Arabidopsis thaliana: one gene and its partners. The protein of the gene in region 2 purifies or fractionates together with the protein of the main gene of each other region. This does not show direct contact. Each region holds a gene or a part of one and is shown on either strand. Other genes may lie near its edges.

Region 1 (4,768 bases), on a different chromosome or scaffold from region 2:
TTTGAGCCCTTGTGCTTAGCACTAAGTCTGCATCTAGGGTACAAGTGAAAGTTATGTTCGCATTTTTGAAAATTTATTTCTAACAACAGGTCAGTTGACTTGGGAGTTTTGGAATAATTTGTAATATTGTATATGGATCCAACAAAGTGAGTACTTCATAAAAACTATTCGTGGGTATTCTTCGAAATCTGATAGATCGGACCGGCCCATTAACAGAAGCCCGTCAATATCTATAACCACAACAAAAGTAACCGATGAATTTAGTCAGTCATTTAGATCCTTTCTTCTACATGGTTGTCACTTGTCACTGTAAGAAGTATTCGTCATCCTAGCATCTTCCAAGAAGATTTAGTAACAAATGTCAAAATCATGCATGCAGTAAACTAAAAATAGTACTCTTTGTATTCGAGTGCTAATTACTAATCTTCCAAGAAGATTGGTAACAAATGTCAAAATCATAAGGAATAATTATAATACAAAGTACATTTTAACTTATTAACATATGTCAAAATCAATAGGGTACTTTTGATACGTCCGGTAAATTAGTGTTCTAGTACAGCCCTATCTCTGTTCTTTTCTCATTAAATTGGATTTGAAACTCTCATTATTGTAGGCATGGAAGAGTTTTAGGCCGCCAAGGTCCACATCATTAATAGTTTAGGTCTTTAATACAGTGACATTACATCATTAATATTTAGGTCCCAATTTCTGGAAATTCTATCTGGTTGGAATTTAGGTCATCATTCTTGACAATTTTTTCTCCTCTTTTGACTAAAATCCAAATCATCTTTCCTCTCAAAACTATTAATGTAATACTCTTATTCACATTAGGTCATATGTTAATGTTATTGTAATATACTAATTATACAAAACTAGGTAGTTTCTTTCTTTACTGTAGTAGATCTTAAAACATAAGATAACGACATAAATCATTTAGATTATTAGTAGTTTGATTAATTACTATAATTTATGGTCTTAAGGTTATTCATCTTTGTTTATGCAAACAAAATCATATGATTAGTGTAGTAAATACATATCCTTTTTGTACTATCGGGTTTAGGGATCAAGATAAGGTCCTTGTTTTAACTGTCTTTACATTATATCCAAATAAATTATGGAAATGATTCACTGACACAAATAATCGAATTAAACTTAAAGTCTTAAACTATACATAAAACTACAGATTGGTCTAATAAAGAAATTAAAACCAACCAACAACTCCATAAAGATATTCTACTATATTCATCAATTTGACTAGTGGTTGCTGACACTAGATTTATGATTCCTTTCATATATTTTCTCTTGGTAATTGGTATGTAAATAAAATTCTCCAAATATGAAAGACTGAAAGTGAAATGTAATCAGTAAACCGAGTAATACCGGAATTTTAAATCTGAATGTCCGTTTTACATCGACCAGATCTGTCACGTGTTAAATAAGACCGGGTCAAAAATATAAGACGCTGACTTGTAACGGTTCGATTTCGATTTGTGCACGAAGCGGGATATCTAACGGTTTAAATTAAGCCACGTTTAAAGATTCCTTCTATACTGGACAAAGTCCCCTATAAAAACCTCTGACCCAATCACATTTCTCGGATCCAAAAAGACGAAGAAAAGGAAAAAAGACAAATCAAAGAGAGACGATTCGATCGCATCAATGGCAGAAGAAAAGAGCTTCAAGTATGTGATCGTCGGAGGTGGTGTCGCCGCCGTAAGTCTCTCTCTGTTCTTCTTCTTCATCGGATTTGTTTTTTTTCCTCAATCTCTTCGCTTACGAATCATCACACTGTACTACTGCTCATTTGTATCCTTATCACTCTGAGAAGTAGAGTAGATTGTATCGCTAGATCTAGTGATTTCTATGATTACGGGAAGATAGGAACTAGATTCCCAATTTATTGTTGTTTTGGGATGTTGTGATTCACAGGGATACGCGGCGAGAGAGTTCTTCAACCAAGGTGTCAAGCCTGGTGAACTTGCTATCATTTCCAGGGAACAAGTAAGTTTTCATGACTTGGAACTAAATTTAAGCTAGATTCTTGTCTTGTTATTTATAGTATTGGCAATTTTTTGGTGTTAATTAGGTTCCTCCATATGAGCGTCCTGCACTTAGCAAGGGATATATCCACCTCGAAAGTAAAAACTTCATTCTACATCATTTGGAGATTTAGTTTAGTCTGTGCGTGGTTTCTGAATTAGATTTGTTTGTTCTTATGGTATATAGATAAAGCTACACTTCCGAATTTCTATGTTGCTGCTGGAATTGGGGGAGAGAGACAGTTCCCTCAATGGTACAAAGAGAAAGGTGAGTTTCCTTTTTTTTTGTGCTTTAAGCGTTTTTTTAGCTCAATGTCTCTCATTCATTCTCATATGTCGTTTCTGCAGGTATTGAGCTGATTTTGGGCACAGAGATTGTCAAAGCAGATCTTGCTGCGAAGACACTTGTCAGTGGGACTGGACAAGTCTTCAAGTACCAAACTTTGCTAGCTGCAACTGGTTCTTCTGTGAGCACAATCTATCCTTGCACTTCTTACTTTGGAAGTTTCCATTTTTAGTCTCTTTTTTCTTTTTGCATCTCTTCTAAGGAATTTCTTAAATTGTGTAGGTCATAAGGTTGTCAGATTTTGGCGTCCCAGGTGCAGATGCTAAGAATATATTCTACCTGAGAGAACTCGAAGATGCTGATTACCTTGCTTATGCAATGGAAACAAAGGAAAAAGGAAAGGCTGTGGTTGTTGGTGGCGGTTACATCGGTCTTGAACTCGGTGCTGCTCTGAAGGCTAACAACCTCGACGTTACCATGGTTTATCCAGAACCTTGGTGCAGTAAGTTGATACAAGCCAAACCACTACCATAGAATTCTCATCGTATTCCCTTTGCTTAACACCTTTCCTTTTTGTTGTGTCTTTGAAAAGTGCCTCGGCTTTTCACCGCTGGCATTGCTTCCTTCTACGAGGGTTACTATGCCAACAAAGGAATTAACATTGTCAAAGGCACTGTTGCATCTGGTTTCACTACCAACTCAAATGGAGAGGTTAGCAATTAGCATCACCGTTCAAACTTGACAAACAGCAGTTTTTCTCTCCGCTGCTTCAACAATATCTCTCTGTTGCTTAATGATGCAGGTCACTGAGGTGAAATTGAAAGACGGAAGAACGTTAGAAGCTGATATTGTGATAGTGGGTGTCGGTGGTAGACCAATTATATCACTCTTCAAAGATCAAGTTGAAGAAGAGAAGGGTGGTTTGAAGGTTTGTGACTTGCATACTCCATTTTCTTCTGTATCTGAGATATAGTTCTTATTATTATTGTTTACTCATGAGATCTTTCTTTGATTGCAGACTGATGGGTTCTTCAAAACAAGCCTTCCAGATGTATACGCCATTGGTGATGTAGCCACCTTCCCAATGAAACTCTACAATGAAATGAGACGCGTTGAACACGTTGACCATGCTCGCAAATCCGCTGAACAAGCCGTAAAGGTAATAATTATAATGCTTCTTCAACCTGTCTTAATGAAGGAGCTGTATAAAATCATCCTAATTGAATCGATTGATATAATGATTTTGTAGGCAATCAAGGCGGCTGAGGAAGGGAACTCAATTCCGGAATATGACTATCTTCCATACTTTTACTCTCGAGCCTTTGATCTCTCATGGCAATTCTACGGTGACAACGTTGGAGAAAGCGTATTGTTTGGGGACAATGACCCGGAATCGCCAAAGCCGAAATTCGGGAGCTACTGGATTAAAGAACGGAAAGTGGTTGGAGCATTTTTAGAAGGTGGAAGTCCTGAAGAGAACAATGCAATTGCTAAACTTGCACGAGCACAACCTTCTGTTGAGAGCCTTGAAGTGCTATCTAAGGAAGGCCTTTCCTTCGCCACAAATATATAAATTGCCTTTCTAGGTTGTGTGTTAGTGTGAGCTTTGAGTTCAGAGTGGCTTTTATGTCACTTTGCTATTATGATAGCAGAGTCGACATTTTTGTTATTTGTTTGACCCACTTTCTTGTGATTGTTTGGTTCCAAAATAAAATTGAAAGCTACTCAATTCACTTTTCTGATATTTCTTTCTTCGAAAATGGTACACCAAACTTGTTGGAAACATTTCAGTCACTTTTCTCGGATCCGGCGTTACAAAAACCTTGTCTTCATATGAGTTTTTTATGTCCAAATTTTGTAGACATTTTTACTAACTTGTTGGAGATTGGTCCTTCTCCAACAACACTATTCAAGTTTTAATTCGACTAAAGTTTGGGAGAATTATTGTATATGTTCCTATTTATTTCAACACTAAAAAGGAGAAAAAAAACAACACTAGAAATAGAAATCATAACCAAACACTAAAAAACAAAAAACAAACAAACAAGGGTCTAAAAAAAAGCAGTCTTGTCTTTTTTAACGGTAATCGTTATCCGATCGAAACAACAGAATTGGACTTCTCACAAGATGTCCTCTCGAATCATCCCATTCCACAGAAGCAGACACAATCCCTTTCATTGTCTCATCCCAAACTCCATCAATCACAACCTTAAAATTCCTCTTCTCTTTAGGCCTCTCGAAACTCATAACCTTAGGCACAACCTCAACTCTCAAACCCTTCGGTGCCCAAACCCTAGCCACGTAGGTCGATGGTCCGTATCCGACATTCGTCACTGTTCTATAGAAAACTTCCGACACTTTCGCTTCCGTAGAATTCACTTGCTTGTGCAGTGACGGATAATTTAACCCGTCGGAACCTAACCCTCGCTTGATATTCTCACAA
Region 2 (5,098 bases):
AGTAACTTTCAGATTGCCGAAATTCGAATTCATGATTCAATTTGTATTGATATTCCGAGCTCTGAAGAAACGCCTCTTTTAGAATCGGTATGTGTTTGGGTTTTTGTTTCTTTTCTCTTTTTTGTGTAATCTCAATTTTGTTACTTTTGAATTTTTTAGGACTCCGTACCATTCTAGATTCTCCGTTGAATTCGAAGTTAGAAATTGAATTGGATTGGATAGATAAAGTCTTATTCTTTGATAATTCCGCTTGCTCTTCTACTCATGGATTTGTTCTGTTTTGTGAATTCTGTGATGGTTTTGTGATGTTATGAAGGAGAAAAACAACTAACACTAAACAAGCTCTTATGTTACCTTTGTTTTCAAACAGATCAAGAGTTGTTCTGCAACTACTATTGAAGAGCATGTTACTGAGTTTGTACCAAATATAAGCTCAGGGAGTTATGCAGATAAGGGTGACTACCGGGAGTACATGGAAGATGAACACATATGCATAGACGACCTTTCAGATCATCTTGGGTCTTCCTTTTACAGATTTCCGGTGCCTATGGCTTTCTACGGTGTGTTTGATGGCCATGGTGGATCTGACGCATCACAGTATATAAAAGAGAATGCTATGAGCTTGTTCTTTGAAGATGCTGTTTTTCGACAATCGCCCTCTGTTGTGGACTCTCTTTTCTTGAAAGAACTGGAGACATCTCACCGGGAAGCTTATAGGCTTGCTGATCTTGCAATGGAGGACGAAAGAATAGTTAGTAGTTCGTGCGGAACAACCGCATTGACTGCTCTTGTAATCGGAAGACATTTAATGGTCGCTAATGTTGGTGATTGTCGTGCGGTGCTCTGCAGAAAAGGAAAAGCTGTTGATATGTCATTTGATCACAAATCTACATTTGAGCCAGAACGGAGACGAGTAGAGGATTTAGGAGGGTACTTTGAAGGCGAGTATCTCTATGGTGACCTTGCTGTTACAAGAGCTCTTGGAGACTGGTCAATAAAGAGGTTTTCACCCCTTGGTGAATCTTTGTCACCTCTGATCTCAGACCCGGACATTCAACAGATGATTCTAACTGAGGAAGACGAGTTCTTGATTATGGGATGTGACGGTGTTTGGGACGTGATGACAAGCCAGTATGCTGTTACTTTCGTCAGGCAAGGACTTAGGAGACACGGTGATCCTAGAAGGTGCGCTATGGAACTTGGAAGGGAAGCGTTAAGGCTAGACTCATCAGATAACGTTACAGTGGTGGTCATCTGCTTCTCATCATCCCCAGCTCCTCAGAGAAGAAGGATACGGTTCTGTGTTTCCGATGAAGCTCGAGCCCGGTTACAGACAATGCTAGAAGGCTAACTGATGAAGGTTTTTTAGCGGTCTTGAGGAGGGCACAATGTATATATTATAGCAACAAAGATGGGGTTTTGAGATAACAACCCTCCCAAGGCCAAATTATTTGATGACATTATTACATCTCTCTGATATTGGATGAAATAAAAGGAAGGCAAAAAGAGAAGATGAAGGACTTCTTCTTTATGTTGTTAAAATGTTCATAAGTGTTATAGCCATTTTTTATCTATTTATTCTGTAGGATTATTGAGCACTTATGTACAAAAACTGATTAAGATTAAGGAATTCAGGTGATTAAGTTAATCAACTAATTCTCTACCCATTTCTTTGAAAATTGTGATCAGAGTTTTGTGTCTAATATCTCTTTCATTACATCTTCACTTTGTATATGTTTTAAAAATCACTAACATATTTGTCCCATTTTGATATATGTTTGTGTAGTGGTTGATCATATGATGATGATGTATATGATCACTCAGCTTGGATTATTAGGGTTATATTATATCATCATAATAATATGCTTATTGCTTCTGGATCCTCTTAGTTATGATTAACGAAAATTAAAAAAAAATCAGGGAAAAAGCGAAGAGGTCCTTTTTGTTTTCGTCTTTATTCGACTTTTCAAAGAGCCAAAGTCTCTCTTCTCCATCTCTCTCTCTCTCTCAGAAACTTCGACGGAAGAAGAACAAAACAACAACAACAACAACAATAACGATGGCGATGGCGAGCTTAGCTAGGAGAAAAGCGTACTTTCTCACCAGAAACATCTCTAATTCTCCCACTGATGCTTTCAGATTCTCTTTCTCCCTCACTCGCGGCTTCGCTTCGTCAGGATCCGACGACAACGACGTCGTCATCATCGGCGGCGGTCCTGGAGGTTATGTGGCGGCGATTAAAGCGGCACAGCTCGGTCTTAAGACTACCTGTATCGAAAAGCGAGGCGCTCTCGGTGGTACTTGTCTTAACGTCGGCTGTATTCCTTCAAAGGTGATTTTAGAAACTCCTTTTCCGATTACCTTGATTCGTCGGAAATTTTCTCCGATTTTCATTCGTCTCCTGTGGAACTTGCTCGTTGATCATCATTTAGATTCGATCTGAGGTTAGATTAATTTCGAGGTTTAAGAAATGATTGTGTGATGATGATACTTATTTATTTTTCAGATCTGTTTGTGCTTGATTCCTCGGAAATGGAACTATTTGTCTTTGAATTTTTGTATATCTGAAAATATTTTGTTCTCGTTGCATATGCTGGATCACGATCCTCGCATTTTTTGTTTTGTGATTGTGTTAGTCTCTGTTTGAGATTTGATTAATATATATGACATAATCTAGTTTAGTTTCTGCTGTATTAGGCCCTTCTTCACTCTTCTCACATGTACCATGAAGCAAAGCACGTTTTTGCTAACCATGGTGTTAAGGTCTCTTCGGTTGAGGTAGATCTTCCTGCTATGTTGGCGCAGAAAGACACAGCCGTCAAGAATTTAACCCGTGGAGTCGAAGGTCTGTTCAAGAAGAACAAGGTAAACTATGTTAAGGGCTATGGTAAGTTTCTGTCCCCATCGGAAGTCTCTGTGGACACAATCGATGGAGAAAACGTGGTTGTGAAAGGCAAACATATCATAGTTGCAACTGGCTCGGATGTCAAGTCTTTGCCTGGAATCACCATCGATGAAAAGAAGATTGTCTCATCAACCGGGGCACTGTCTCTGACAGAGATCCCAAAGAAACTCATTGTCATTGGTGCTGGCTATATTGGGCTAGAGATGGGTTCTGTATGGGGACGGCTAGGATCAGAGGTCACAGTTGTTGAGTTTGCAGCGGATATCGTACCAGCAATGGATGGTGAAATCCGCAAGCAGTTTCAACGCTCACTAGAGAAGCAGAAGATGAAATTTATGCTCAAAACTAAAGTCGTTGGGGTAGATTCATCTGGAGATGGTGTTAAACTCATAGTGGAACCTGCTGAAGGTGGAGAACAGACCACTCTAGAAGCTGATGTGGTCCTCGTCTCAGCTGGTAGAACTCCGTTCACATCTGGACTTGATCTAGAGAAAATCGGAGTTGAGACAGACAAAGGCGGGAGAATTCTGGTGAACGAGAGATTCTCGACAAATGTTTCAGGCGTTTATGCAATTGGAGATGTGATTCCAGGACCAATGCTGGCTCACAAAGCCGAAGAAGATGGTGTTGCATGTGTTGAGTTTATAGCAGGCAAACACGGGCATGTGGATTACGACAAAGTCCCTGGGGTTGTCTACACGTACCCTGAAGTTGCGTCGGTTGGTAAAACCGAGGAGCAGCTGAAGAAAGAAGGTGTAAGCTACAATGTTGGAAAATTCCCATTCATGGCCAATAGCAGAGCCAAGGCCATAGACACAGCAGAGGGAATGGTCAAGATTTTGGCTGATAAAGAGACAGACAAGATCTTGGGAGTTCACATTATGTCACCAAACGCAGGAGAATTGATCCATGAGGCGGTTCTAGCTATCAACTATGATGCATCAAGTGAAGACATTGCTCGAGTCTGTCACGCTCATCCCACCATGAGTGAGGCTATCAAGGAAGCTGCCATGGCTACCTATGACAAGCCCATTCACATGTAGAAGCCCTCAGGTACATCATGGTTTGGTGTTGATTCTGTTTCGGTGGATGACTTTCTTGGTTCTTCGGGTTTTGATTTTTCTTTTGTGTGTGTTGATGCGTATACTAGGAGATGTGGATTGAGAGGGAGAAGGAAGTAAAGCCGCCTACGACAAGCCAAATCAAGATGACTTTGGTTTAAACTTTTGATTTTTAATTTCTGGTGGATATGAGATGAGCTGAAAGAAAATACTTTAACGGTTTTACCACTCTTTTTTATTCGTTAAATCTTCTCCAGATTTTCAGTTGCGGGTTAGGCCCAACTATAGTAATAATTTGATATGCTCAATGAACCAAATGTGATTAATCAGGTATGATCGGTGGTTTTGGTGAAAGAGGATAACCAAATTCGATATGATTTTTTCACTGTATGATTGTGTTCAGTTTTATGATTTCAGTTTGCTTCCAAATTTTGGGACATGATTCGTTTCTTTTCATATGTATGCTCAAGATACTTACCATTGTCAAAATTCAAAAACGATAGTTGAGTAGTACGATAAAAAATACTCAAAAGAAGATAAACAAAACACACAGTTCGGACACTCATCCATAGAATTTTCTTATGTTTTAGATTTGGGAATTTTGTATGATATGATTTATACTAATAACCCAAGATTTTGAAATCTTTTCAAATAAAAGAATTTCCTCAAAGTAAGATTTTCTTTTGTTATAAAAATGGCAATGAATAATAATTCGAAGATTTTTTTCTTAACTTATGAATTGAATAATAATGGTGGATTGCGAATAATATAGAATTAAAGAAGAATATTATAGAATTTAGACATTTAAGATTTCCACATCCAATAAAGATGGAGTTTTAAGGAAAGCTTTTTGTCTCCCTAAATACGTTCGTTCTCACATTAATTGAGTCAACAAATAATAATTTGGGTCACATTTCATAATATCTTTCTATTGTCATCCAAAAACTATGTACTTATTAGTATGCAATAAGAACCTCCCAGACTCTCAAGTATACGCATAATTATCTTTCCGCAGCCAAGACAATGGCTTATCCTTGCGTCAAAAGAAACGTATTTTCACTTCTTCCTCTTCTCGTTCTTCTATCAATCACCCCTTTGTCTTCATCTTTATCTCCGAGTGACAAAATCACAA
Region 3 (3,756 bases), on a different chromosome or scaffold from region 2:
TTGCATCCCTTGCCGTGGAATGTGCTCATCGGTTCGTATATTAGGAACAAAAGGTTTCAGGAGTCTGTTTCTGTTTACAAGCGAATGATGAGTAAAGGAATTAGAGCGGATGAATTTACTTACCCGTCTGTTATCAAGGCTTGTGCAGCATTACTGGATTTTGCATATGGGAGAGTTGTTCATGGCTCTATTGAGGTTAGCTCTCACAGGTGTAACTTGTATGTCTGCAACGCGTTGATATCTATGTATAAAAGATTTGGTAAAGTGGATGTTGCTCGGAGATTGTTTGACAGGATGTCTGAAAGGGATGCTGTCTCATGGAATGCAATAATCAACTGTTATACTTCAGAAGAAAAGTTAGGGGAAGCTTTTAAGCTTCTTGATAGAATGTATCTCTCTGGTGTCGAAGCGAGTATTGTAACTTGGAACACAATAGCTGGAGGTTGTTTGGAGGCAGGAAATTACATAGGGGCTTTGAATTGTGTTGTTGGGATGAGAAATTGCAATGTAAGAATAGGTTCTGTAGCTATGATTAATGGTTTAAAGGCATGCTCACACATTGGAGCGTTAAAGTGGGGGAAAGTATTTCATTGCCTTGTGATCCGTAGTTGTAGTTTTTCCCATGATATTGACAATGTTCGGAATTCGTTGATCACAATGTACTCAAGATGCAGTGATCTTAGGCACGCGTTTATAGTGTTTCAGCAGGTTGAAGCAAATAGTTTGAGTACATGGAATTCTATCATTTCCGGTTTTGCATACAACGAGAGATCAGAAGAAACCTCTTTCCTGCTCAAGGAGATGTTGCTCTCTGGATTTCACCCAAATCACATTACGCTTGCTAGCATTCTCCCTCTTTTTGCTCGGGTGGGAAACCTGCAACATGGGAAAGAGTTTCACTGCTACATCCTGAGACGCCAAAGCTACAAGGACTGTTTAATCCTGTGGAACTCCCTTGTCGATATGTATGCAAAATCCGGTGAAATCATAGCTGCAAAGCGAGTATTTGATTCGATGAGGAAGAGGGACAAAGTGACATACACTTCTTTGATCGATGGATATGGCAGGCTGGGTAAAGGAGAAGTCGCATTGGCATGGTTCAAGGATATGGACAGATCCGGTATCAAACCTGATCATGTAACTATGGTTGCAGTTTTATCAGCTTGCAGCCATTCCAATTTAGTGCGTGAAGGACACTGGTTGTTTACGAAGATGGAGCATGTGTTTGGTATACGCCTTCGCCTTGAACACTATTCTTGTATGGTTGATCTTTATTGCAGAGCAGGTTACCTGGATAAAGCCAGAGATATATTCCATACAATACCTTACGAGCCATCAAGTGCTATGTGTGCTACTCTACTGAAAGCGTGCCTCATCCACGGGAACACAAACATTGGGGAGTGGGCTGCAGATAAGTTACTACTAGAAACAAAGCCAGAACACTTAGGTCACTATATGTTGCTTGCAGATATGTATGCAGTAACTGGTTCTTGGAGCAAGCTTGTAACGGTGAAGACTTTACTGAGTGACTTGGGCGTGCAAAAGGCTCATGAGTTTGCTTTGATGGAAACAGATTCGGAGTTAGATGGAGAGAATAATAAGCCGATGAACGATGATTCTGTCATCAATCAGGAGCAAAGTTCAGATGAAGAACGTCTTGTAGAAGTAGGATAAAGAATCAAATTCTGATAGAAATATTTTATCAAACTGGAGAATCAATTTGTACATAAATCTTATATACAACAAGTTTTAATTGCATGATTTCCTGTAAACATAAGTTTACATGAACTAGGGGATGGTCCTTCGCAAGTATGAGTAACAAGCATAAACAGCATTATATATGAAATAAATATGAGCCCACCTAAACCCATTAAGGGCCCATTAAGATTGGAGATACTGCTTTTTTAAGAGAGGTCACTTTTTCCACAGTGAAACCCTAAGGAAACTTCGGCAAGCTCCAGAGAAACGAGAGTTCCGTAATCATTTTCTCTTGTTGTTCCTGATCGCGTAGCTCAAGCGAAAAAAATGGCGTCGTTTGATGAAGCACCACCAGGAAACGCCAAGGCCGGTGAGAAGATCTTCAGGACCAAGTGTGCTCAGTGTCACACCGTCGAAGCAGGCGCCGGTCACAAACAAGGTTTTCACTCATCGATCTCTCTCACTCTTGAATTCTATTTCTATGGTTGATTTTCGCAATTTATCTGAATTTTTATCGGGCCTTTGTTTTACATCGCTTTATAATCGATTTGTTCATGTTAATCAAAAATCTCTGATGTGATCTGGTTAACGGATTCTTCGATTAGATCATAGATCTGATCCAATAACCTCGATGTCTTACTCGTGTTTATCCTTAAATCTTCAGCTCAATGCATGTGACGAATTTCTGAGGTTTTTATATACAACTTTTCGCATTTTTGTGGAACTTGATTCTCGAATTCTAAGTAATGATACAACAATGATTTGAGCTAGTTGCGTCACAGATTCTCATTTTTTCTTGAAATTGCGTGAAATTAGAAAACACTGTTGCTCAATGGTTTCTATTGTTTTCGTAGCTTTTGTAGAATGTGATTTGCGTCACATTGTTGCTCAACACTTGACCTTGTTGTTTTAATATAGGACCCAATCTAAACGGTCTATTTGGAAGACAATCTGGTACAACTGCTGGTTACTCTTACTCTGCTGCTAACAAGAACAAAGCTGTGGAATGGGAAGAGAAGGCCTTGTACGATTACTTGCTCAACCCCAAGAAGGTTTGTATAATCATGTCATGATTGTTTCATGAGTTGTTGTTGTTAACATTGAGATTGATGGCCTTTTTATATGATGCAGTACATACCAGGTACCAAGATGGTGTTCCCTGGGCTAAAGAAGCCGCAAGACCGTGCTGATCTCATCGCCTACTTGAAGGAATCTACTGCGCCTAAGTGAATCTGATGGTGGATTGATTCTGAGTTGTTAAGTCTCTCTCAGATGAGGCTTTTTTACTTTGCTATATTCTTTTGCCAAATAAAATCTCAAACTTTTTTTGTTTATCATCAATTACGTTCTTGGTGGGAATTTGGCTGTAATGTGTGCTGAGGCTCACTTTATCGAGTACATTTGATTTTCTGAGGCTCATTTTCCTTTTTTTTGTCTAGAAAGCATTTTCTCACTTATTATTGGTGCTTAAATTTGAAGGACAAAAAAGATTCGAATTATATATCAACTATTAACAATAATGGAGCAATACATTTAACGTTGATACATGATACTCTGTTGGCGTTTTACAAATCCTAGAGAGTCAAAACCATTATCCAATCGCTGGCTTGTTTCCTACTTTGCATCTCTCTTCTCATCATCATCAATATCCTTTATAGCATCCTGCAACACACGGCAAGTAAAAGATATACATGAGACAGATTCATTTCACTTTACATCTTTTAAGTTTCAACCAAATGTGGGACTTTTCTGAGCTTATATGCTACGAAGCTTTGAACCAGTTGGTTTGATATCAGAAGTGGGAGGCAAATATAACGCAGAACAGAGAAAGAAAAGAAGTAAACAAGTATGAGTTTACCTTTGCAAGGCTTGTCACATATGTTCCAGCCAATGCAGTAACCAACAGACCCACCCCGAGAGTTAAAAGCTGGCCGTTTCCTCCAGGCAAGCCAACATTAGATTCTTCTTGCTGAAGCGACATAGACAGAAGATTGTCATTTGATGATTTTATGATGCTTGCCAGAGTCACCATGTATTCACAATTCAACAGGATATCAG

Evidence for each region.
Region 1: the proteins of mtLPD2 (region 2) and ATMDAR2 purify together in Arabidopsis thaliana (affinity purification with mass spectrometry, with the first as the bait; one large-scale study listed by BioGRID). This does not show direct contact.
Region 3: the proteins of mtLPD2 (region 2) and CYTC-1 purify together in Arabidopsis thaliana (affinity purification with mass spectrometry, with the first as the bait; one large-scale study listed by BioGRID). This does not show direct contact.

The regions. Positions count from the first base shown.
Region 1 is NC_003076.8:921,508-926,275, reverse strand, and holds ATMDAR2 (Pyridine nucleotide-disulfide oxidoreductase family protein), read left to right. Parts: upstream 1-1,547; 5' UTR 1,548-1,659; coding exon 1,660-1,713; intron 1,714-1,929; coding exon 1,930-2,001; intron 2,002-2,086; coding exon 2,087-2,138; intron 2,139-2,226; coding exon 2,227-2,307; intron 2,308-2,387; coding exon 2,388-2,506; intron 2,507-2,607; coding exon 2,608-2,827; intron 2,828-2,917; coding exon 2,918-3,036; intron 3,037-3,127; coding exon 3,128-3,253; intron 3,254-3,343; coding exon 3,344-3,484; intron 3,485-3,574; coding exon 3,575-3,898; 3' UTR 3,899-4,228; downstream 4,229-4,768. Other genes in the region: AT5G03620 (Subtilisin-like serine endopeptidase family protein), read right to left, coding at 4,402-4,768. UniProt on the Arabidopsis thaliana protein: Catalyzes the conversion of monodehydroascorbate to ascorbate, oxidizing NADH in the process.
Region 2 is NC_003074.8:5,889,128-5,894,225, reverse strand, and holds mtLPD2 (lipoamide dehydrogenase 2), read left to right. Parts: upstream 1-1,893; 5' UTR 1,894-2,059; coding exon 2,060-2,332; coding exon of another isoform or gene 2,333-2,443; exon of another isoform or gene 2,444-2,697; coding exon 2,698-3,948; 3' UTR 3,949-3,958; intron 3,959-4,055; 3' UTR 4,056-4,563; downstream 4,564-5,098. Other genes in the region: AT3G17250 (Protein phosphatase 2C family protein), read left to right, coding at 1-87, 371-1,351; AT3G17230 (plant invertase/pectin methylesterase inhibitor superfamily protein), read left to right, coding at 4,990-5,098. UniProt on the Arabidopsis thaliana protein: Lipoamide dehydrogenase is a component of the glycine decarboxylase (GDC) or glycine cleavage system as well as of the alpha-ketoacid dehydrogenase complexes.
Region 3 is NC_003070.9:8,077,359-8,081,114, forward strand, and holds CYTC-1 (CYTOCHROME C-1), read left to right. Parts: upstream 1-1,928; 5' UTR 1,929-2,025; coding exon 2,026-2,137; intron 2,138-2,153; exon of another isoform or gene 2,154-2,616; coding exon 2,617-2,750; coding exon of another isoform or gene 2,751-2,754; intron 2,755-2,829; coding exon 2,830-2,928; 3' UTR 2,929-3,216; downstream 3,217-3,756. Other genes in the region: AT1G22830 (Tetratricopeptide repeat (TPR)-like superfamily protein), read left to right, coding at 1-1,674; AT1G22850 (SNARE associated Golgi protein family), read right to left, coding at 3,313-3,360, 3,557-3,667. UniProt on the Arabidopsis thaliana protein: Electron carrier protein. The oxidized form of the cytochrome c heme group can accept an electron from the heme group of the cytochrome c1 subunit of cytochrome reductase.